Linked DNA regions of Nothobranchius furzeri. The main gene of each other region encodes a partner of the protein of the gene in region 2 in a complex. Links are inferred from orthologs where the notes say so. Each region holds a gene or a part of one and is shown on either strand. Other genes may lie near its edges.

Region 1 (4,287 bases), on a different chromosome or scaffold from region 2:
GGAAAAGGAGGCGCTCACCTTGCTGCTGCGTCGGCTGGATGTTAAAACCTCCAAATCCAGTTGCTCCTAATCCAGTTCCAAACCCTGATGTTCCAGTAGCGGTACCGGTTCCCAGTCCTGCTGGGAATCCAAACCCTTTGTTGGCTGTGTTCCCAAACAGGCCTCCTAAGACAAAACGCATTCAAAAGCAACAAATTAAAACCCAAAAAAGAAAAGATGCTGTCAGCTCTGCAGAAGGAACACAGCAACAAGGAGAGCCCCGTGTTTTGGTAAAGTGAGACATCTTGTAGCAGCTCAGTGTTCATGCTAGAACAAGAATATAGCATCATAGAACCTGCTGTTTTGGTTGTTTATTTGGGATAAAATAGTAACTTGAACTGGTGTTAATAGGACATCACCTGCATCTTACACATGTTCTTAAACATTCATTTGTGATTTTATAGTAAATAAACTGAAATGGTAATTGGCATTTCTGTGTCAGAGGACTCGAAAGTGCTTCCACGAAGAACAGTCATTCACACGCTGGAAGTAGACCGGACTGGAAGTAAATGGGCGTGGCTTAGGCTCTCTACTGCTGTTTATTACATTTCCGCTGGTCCGTCCCCTAAAGTGTACGAATGGTACGTGCAACTTTTATGTTCCTGCCGTGCTTAGCAGCTGTTTTTAGGCATTTCATTATATATTTTTTTTATATATTTATAAATTGTTATTGAATTGGCAAGTGTCACAGTGCAATCGATTGATTAAATGGTGAATCTGCTCACCATTACTGATTAGCAGACGAGAAGTGTCATCTCATGCAATTCCCAAACTGGAAACCTAACCTGCTCTGGAGAATCAGCAGGGTCTCAGTAAAAATATCTTGTAAAGGCATGAGACCTCTAACGGTCAATCACCACTTTGACTACTAGTAGCAGTATTCACCAGCACCTTCAGAGTAACATGTAAAGCTGGGGGGTGGTTCCATCAATATATATTTTTTATATTCAAGTTAGTCCAAATTCTTCCTAATGTCGCCACGCACAGCTTTAATATTTATTTTGCTCTAAATGTGTACTCACAGAGGTTACTCTGTTACTAACCTGTTGTATTGGAGGGGGTAGTAAAGCTGAAAGTGGACCCCGGTGCAGCAGCTGTTGTTGTCGTTGCCCCAAAGCCACCAAATGTACCTGGAAAGGAAATCAAAGAATAATCCCTCCAATGAAAGGAGTTAAAGGGAAAGGAGATGAGAGAACAAGAGTTGGAAATCACTGGGTGCATGGTGAGTAGCAGAAAAGTATTTCTGGCAATGATCAAATGACATCCATCAAACATGATGTTCTGCAAAAAATGTACTGAATGTCCACATTCATCATCACACAAGATGAGAGCATAGTTTAACACAGTCTTTCATGCAAAAACAGTGAAACTTCAGAACATAGATGTATAAGAGTCACCAGGTGAGATGGAGAAAGAAAAACACTGCATCACATGGAGGTGGACACAAACGATTTTTGCAAACACAAAATGAACTCGATCACAGAGATCATCTACCTGTGCTAGTCAGGCTATTACCAAAATTGAAAATAGTGCCAGTAGTGGTTGCTGTACCAAAGCACCCTGCATTAAAGCTGATTGCTGCTGGGTTGGCATTTAAACCAAACCCCCCAAAACTAAACCCGCCAGCCATGGTGCTTCCAGCTCCAAGCCCCCCAAATCCTGTAGCCGAAGCAGGCAGGCAGCAAGAAGAAAGTAACACGGAGTTAAATGACACAATGCTACATTTGGCACCAGCTCTTCAGTGAGTTAATCGTCTAAAAATCAACAAAACGAATGAAACGCGCTTTAAAACTAATGTTTGTCCTACCCGTGTTGGTGGAGCCAAAGCTAAATCCTGTAGCGGGTGCAGAAGTGGAGGTGACAGTCCCAAAACCAGGAGCTGTTAGAGCTTTTTCACACACACACACACACACACACACACACACACACACACACACACACACACACACACACACACACACACACACACACACACGAATGAAAGCCAAAACAAAACACAGAAGACCTCTTGAATGTGGGTCAGGAGCGTGACTTACTGCCAAACCCTGAAGAAGCGGTGGTCGTGGTGGCCGTGGGGTTGAATCCAAACGTGGTTGATGCCGTCGTCTTGGCACCAAATGCGCCGAATGAGAACCCGGGCGCGCCTTTAAAAGAACATAAACGAGTCTTTAAATGTTGGATTACATCTCTACTGTATCCTTCGATGCTTTTCTGAAAACTTCATACAGTAGCTAACTAGTAGCTGATTCGTAGCATGACGCTAACATGGGGAGGCTTTACTGCTAAAGGTAGATGACCAAGTAATCTGTCCCGCATCTGAATACGTAACAAACTAGTTATGACTTTAACTTAAAACGTGGAACACAACCCACTGAAGTTTGCTGCATTGGCCGGATTGTGAGATTACATGATGCTTCAACAGCAGTTAGCTTGCGACACGTACTAACTACATATGCTAGTAATGCGTTCATATCCTTGTGGCGTCTGGTTTATGACACATATCCGACACAGCTTTCGCTAAGAGAAAGAATACAAAGTAGAGGTAACTAAAGTCCATACTTGCTTCTGTATTGCTCGTGGCGCCGCCAAAACTAAACGCCATGTTGGCGAATGTCAGTTCTTCTTCGTCGCTTCTTTTCTTCTTCTCCTGTTTGATGTTTTATGCCAGTTGGCGACCAACGTCGTGCCACATTACTGCCACCAACTGGCACGGAGTGTGGACTGGTTAGTACACATGTGTGCGTTTTCCTACATAATCAATCAATCAAAGCTTTAATTATAAAGCGCCTTCCACGACCCTGTCAGGAAGCCAAAGGCGCTGAAACTAGAGTTAGTCTAATCGTTTCTGTATTTCTCAACACATCGTTCATACTCATAGACTGTTCATACTTCAACAAAGCAACGCTCTTCCGCCACCTAGTGTCCGGATTTTAACATTGTTCAGCTTTAATTTGATCAACTTTATAGTACAAATAAAAACACGACGAGCTATTATGTTCGAAAAAAGAAAACAGTCATATTTCAATGAATGAGCATACATAAAAATAAGCACAAGAAAATAAAGTATTAGAGGAAGTGCTTACATTCTAAATAATATAAAGGGAATCTCCAATTATTAGAAGCTTTTGAGGTTTATTAGTCCTTGAAGAGCCATGAACCGTATATTATTATTATTATTATTATTATTATTATTATTATTATCCATACAAACTATACATACATTTTATTATAAATTACCTTTGGTAACACAGAATCATTCATGAGTTTAGTTTGAGTACAAAAGAATTAGCAAGCCACCCTATATCCTTTTGCTTGTGCTACAGTCGATCTAGATTTCTGGGCTATTACATGAATGCAAACATACACACATGAAATAAAAAATATTCTGAATTGTTTTACAAAAGACAAGACTCATTCATTTATATAGCTTGCCATCTTTTCAAGTATTAGTAGAGCCAACAGATGAGCTTATAGACAGTTCTAACGAGAAACAGGCTTCAACACAAGCAGGTGTTTTCCGCTTGGTCCTAGTGCTCAACCAGTGCCAATTTAATGTAGCGTAATATTGTTTGTGGATGGTAAAAAGTGCAGGGGACAAAAATTGACTTTTGAAAAAGTGGGGGGACATCTTCCCCCTCCCCCCTCCAAAAAAAAAACTAAGTCCATGTATGGGTGAATTTATATTTGCTGCTGCTATGCAAGTATGGCAAAGATATTTACAAATAAAAACGAATAGAATATTATGTAAACTTGAAACTTATCGTAACGCTTGTCAAAGTTACAGATTTTGGAGGTTTCATCCTTGCTCCCGTGTCTGCAGCTAATCTCCTGTATTTTAATTCCCTCTGCACTCACATCTTATTCACCAAACTCAGAGGCAAACACAGAACTACTGAAACTACTTTTTTATTTTGTGTACAGAGTAAAAACAACAAGATGCAACATTTCATAGCAAGCAGACACTCAGGACACGTGTTTGTAGCAGTAACAATCAATTCACAGAGATTGTATCTAATCAGCATTTGGCACAAAGTAGCCCAGTGTAACATCTACGTGGTGCTTTCAGTGTTTTGGTTTGATCAGTGTAACAACATAATTTAACCTCCTTCAACAGAACTGGACTAATGTTGAATAATACTGTTTGTTACATCAGAAACTAGTTATCTATTAGTCCACCCGCTCATTAATTCTAATCTCCTTCACTATAAAACCTCTACGACTTCGGTGTATTTTAATGTTGTACAATTA
Region 2 (4,265 bases):
TCTTATTATTTAATGTATGATCAAAACCTCATAAACCGTCACAAATCCTGTGTTTTCAGTTGGGTAGGTCTGTCATAGTCAAACCTGTGCTGCAGCACCTACATAACTTAACCTTTTTATGGGTTTTTATGAACTTAAAAGTCACGTATTTCCCATAAAAGTTCATCTGATACTTGAAATGTTAAAATAAATAAGCAGATGATCCTATTTTTGATCTGAGGAGTATTTTCATAGTGCAGATCACCCTGATTTTACCATCTCTGTTAAATAGGCCTATCATGTGTTACTATAACTCCAGATGCAGCCGAGTTTTCTATTAATCACTAAAATGCTTAAACTAGTTCAATAACTGGGTGTGAAAGTTGTAGGGTTATTGAGTGAAAGCCGTGCTGTCTGTTGAGCGAGGGGAAAAAACTAGCAAACAGATGCTCGTCACGTCTGATTCTAGCGACACCTGCTAGCCAACACATCTGGCTAACATTACATAGCAACACTGAATCACAGAAAACATACCAAAAAGACAAGGCCCAATAAGCTTATTCATCCCATCCATTTGCAAAAATTAGCAAAAAAAAATGTTAGCTACCTTCGGCGTTCGGATGTGTTCCATTTCTCCGAATCGAGACCTGTCAGCGACGCAAAGGGCTCACACGACGCGCTAAGATGACAAGTGTATCATTGATTTAAAAATGGTTAAGACTGCAGAGGTGTCGCCTTGACTTTTCGCTGTTATACGTTATGAGTTTATTGTCAATTATTTCACTCTTTTGTTAGCGTGAAGTTAATTACTATCACGGCAACGCTGCACGTGAAGTGTTTTCAAAATAAAGCGCATTTTGTGTTTAAAACACCAGGGCTTCGGTTAAACCCATGGTTAAAACCGCCTTTCGTGACATATAGTTTTTTTTAGTAAATATACACAATCGACATCAATATTATGATATACACACATATGTTGAGTTGATTAAACTTTTAACTGGCACTGTGTTGTGACGTGCTGAGATTTCACACCTAAATTACCACACGGAATGACAATAAATGATGTGATTCTATTTTCTAATTAAAATTTTTTTAAATGATCGAATTCGAATCTTGAAATGTTGTTTAAAATACGCCCTTTAAAGTCACGTAATTTTAAGTAAATTTTGTTTAAGCAAGGGGTTTTATTTTGAAAGCACATCCGGATTTAGTTTGTACTTTATGAACGACTTTTTAGTCCAAATTAGAAGTGTGCGCATGCGTTAACGTCACAGGAGCTGTGTAAAATCTGGGAAATGTAGTTTAGATAAATTATTACCCAAGATGCACTAGCACAAAAATACCAGGCGGGTAATAGGAAAAGAAGAGCCATGCGAAAAGTAGTTTTGAGAATTTTTTTTAACATACCAGGCTTATTTAATAGATTGTAAATCGCCACAAGGCTGCAGTGTGATCTCACTTATTGGGAATATAAAACATTTTTGATCAGTTATGTTTTAAACAAATGCTAGAGCGCGGATCTTGGCCCTCACGCGGCCATGAAAAGCTAACTGACGTGATGGTGTGCTAAGCTTGCAAATGAATTTCATTAGTATTTGAAGTTCAAATTGTTTGGTAGTGCTTGTGTAGCTGTTAGGAGAAAATGTCTGGCTTTAACTTTGGATCGGGAACGCTTGGAGCTACCAACACGGGTGGAGGATTTTCATTTGGAGCCGTTACCAGGTATTTTTAGTTAGCCGTTCTGGCTAAAGTTAGCATAGCATAACTTTAATCGTGTGCCATTTTTTACAATCCTTGTTTTTCAACATAGCTCACAGAGGTGGTTGCTTGTAATGTTTAAATGCACTGCCTTTTAGGGGTTTGTTCCTTCACGCAAACGTTACACTGCATTATTTAATAACATAATTGGGTTATTGAAATGTTAAACTAATTCCAGTATCCCCACATTGCTTCCACTGTCTTAATAAAGAACGCGTTTCAATAAGTTTGTGATTCGCACGTGAAACACTTATTGTTACTTAAGAATCATAAAGTTTAATTTCAATAAAACCTCCGGTTTAATACGTTTTTGGGTGATGTGCTGGAATGTCAGGATATCTACTTTTTCCATTTTGCCCAGGTTGCTTACAGCAGTTTGGCATTATTTGTTTGTGTAAACACATTTATGAAGTACTGTGGTTTAACGTAATTCAAATGGACGGATTATACATTTTTTAAGTGCAGCTTTGTTATTGAAAAAGTGTGAAATGATCATCCTTTCTGTCTTAAGTGCCCCTGCAGCCAATACGAGCGGCTTTTCCTTTGGGACTGTTCTGGGAACAGCAGCTGCAGCCCCTGCTCCAACCACTGCCACCTCCACCACTGCTTCTCTCGGACTGGGAGGCAGCATCTTTGGCCAGAAACCTGCTGGAGGATTCTCTTTCAATACGCCAGCTTCAAGTAATGATGCATTAACACATTTGTTTAAAGCTTAAGTCGTTCTGTGTGTCTTAACTTTTCTGTTGGGATCTTATCTTACAGGTGCTTCTGCGCCCACCACAGGCCTCGCAATAGGTATGCTAGCTTTCAGAGTGTGTTTTGGAGTAAGTGGGAAAGTTTCTACGTTTAATTTCACACACACTTTCTTTCAGGCATTCCAGCTACAACAGCTGCTACCACTGGCTTTAGTTTAGCCTTCAACAAGCCCACTGCCTCAGCGACACCCTTTTCCCTCACCACCAGCACCAGTTCCTCGACAGTGGGAGCAGGTTTATCATTTGGCTCCGTCCTGACATCCACAGCACCACAGCAGCCCTCAGCCACTGGCTTCAGCCTTGGTCTCGGTGGCATCACAACCGCCTCAGCAGCCTCAACAGTGCCATCACTGGGCACTGGACTTTTCTCCAGCACTGGAGCCTCAGGTTAAAATGAAAATAAGTTAACTTACACTGTCACGGTGCAGCACGTGTACAATCTATATATAACAATCAATTTAGCAAATCCAAAATCTCTGAAAGATCCGAAGATTTGTTCAAACCTCTTTTTCTACTTTGTGTTTCAGGGCTGGGCCAGACTACTCTTGGAGGAGGAGCCTTGGGTTCTTTGCTGGCCACCTCCACAGCAGTACCAGCTGCTCCTTCTCCAAGCATTGGCCTGGGTGGGGTTGACTTCAGCACCCTCTCCGAGAACAAGAGCGATGCATTATCTGGAACCAATGCTCAGTATGTGGCTTTATTCGTGAGGCCTTTGAAATAGTAAAACTAACGTTTGAATTCTAAAAATGTCCAAGACAACGTTGGTTTCCTGTCTTGTGGTCATTTACCTCATCAGTAATGATCTGTCTCCTGTATGATGGCGTGAAGAAACGTGTCTCATTCTCCTCCTCAGGGACAGCAAAGCTCTAAAAGATGAGAATCTGCCCACATGTATTTGTCAAGATGTAGACAATTTTCAGTAAGTATTACATTTTGTTACTGCACTGTGTACATGCTGAGTTTTTCTTTTTATCACCTGAAAGAGAGTTCCTTTCTGCATCTTTCTCCCTTATTTGCAGAAAATTTGTAAAAGAGCAAAAGCAGGTTCAGGAAGACATCAGTAGGATGTCCTCAAAGTCCATTTCTAAGGTTCAGGATGACATCAAAAGCCTCAAACAGCTGCTTTCTGTCTGTGCCAGCGGACTGCAGCGCCAGGCTCTGGCTATAGACAAACTCAAGTTGGAGACAGCTCAGGTATCAAACATAAAATAACTCAAATGACACATTCTCTCAAATGTTCCAATTTCGAAAGGTTGCAGCTCTTCCTTGTACCTTTTATACATAAATTACTCTTCCGACAAAACTTAACGTTCTTCAAATTCTTTTATAAGGAGCTGAAAAATGCAGACATAGCTCTGCGCACCCAGAAGACACCTCCTGGCCTTCAGCATGAAAACACTGCTCCGTCAGAGTAAGTCATCGAGCAGCAGCGTCGAGGCAAATCAAATGCAAATATCAGTGACCTACAATCGGCTGTTGTGATCTTGTGTTTAGTTATTTCCGTGGCTTGGTTGACCAGTTTGAGGTGCAGCTGCAGCAGTACCGGCAGCAGATAGAAGAGCTGGAGAATCACCTGACCACGCAGAGCAGCGGCACACACATCACCCCTCAGGGTAATGAGATGTGGAGATAACACTGATTATTTAATGGAAACGTAAAAGCTAGTGTATCAAACGCTACCCTTTAAATTCATCCTGGAATATAGTTTTTCAAACATAACAGAGGTTTGGTTTTAATTTTAACAAGTTCCACTACATTATTCATTGTTAGGTG

Evidence for each region.
Region 1: the proteins of nup58 (region 2) and nucleoporin p54 are in contact, whole or in part, in a crystal structure (PDB 4JO7), measured with the Homo sapiens proteins. The link is inferred for Nothobranchius furzeri from reciprocal best matches to the Homo sapiens genes NUP58 and NUP54. Residues at the interface, in NP_054808.1 of Homo sapiens: Pro342, Tyr345, Phe346, Leu349, Val350, Phe353, Gln356, Leu357, Tyr360, Gln363, Ile364, Leu367, Leu371, Gln374, Ser378, Ile392, Tyr393, Phe396, Leu399, Ala400, Leu403, Ile406, His407, Val410, Lys414, Tyr417, Tyr420, Arg421; in NP_059122.2 of Homo sapiens: Tyr453, Leu459, Glu462, His466, Leu467, Gln469, Gln470, Gln471, Gly473, Leu474, His476, Leu477, Ile478, Ile480, Ile481, Asp484, Leu485, Ile488, Lys489, Leu490, Val491.

The regions. Positions count from the first base shown.
Region 1 is NC_091746.1:59,724,868-59,729,154, reverse strand, and holds the start of nucleoporin p54, read right to left. Parts: upstream 2,855-4,287; 5' UTR 2,642-2,854; coding exon 2,599-2,641; intron 2,184-2,598; coding exon 2,076-2,183; intron 1,928-2,075; coding exon 1,847-1,927; intron 1,699-1,846; coding exon 1,534-1,698; intron 1,170-1,533; coding exon 1,083-1,169; intron 166-1,082; coding exon 19-165; intron 1-18. UniProt on the Homo sapiens protein: Component of the nuclear pore complex, a complex required for the trafficking across the nuclear membrane.
Region 2 is NC_091747.1:56,986,538-56,990,802, forward strand, and holds the start of nup58 (nucleoporin p58/p45), read left to right. Parts: upstream 1-1,402; 5' UTR 1,403-1,621; coding exon 1,622-1,701; intron 1,702-2,248; coding exon 2,249-2,418; intron 2,419-2,499; coding exon 2,500-2,532; intron 2,533-2,609; coding exon 2,610-2,879; intron 2,880-3,019; coding exon 3,020-3,179; intron 3,180-3,345; coding exon 3,346-3,411; intron 3,412-3,511; coding exon 3,512-3,686; intron 3,687-3,823; coding exon 3,824-3,903; intron 3,904-3,986; coding exon 3,987-4,105; intron 4,106-4,265. Other genes in the region: mtmr6 (myotubularin-related protein 6), read right to left, coding at 587-610. UniProt on the Homo sapiens protein: Component of the nuclear pore complex, a complex required for the trafficking across the nuclear membrane.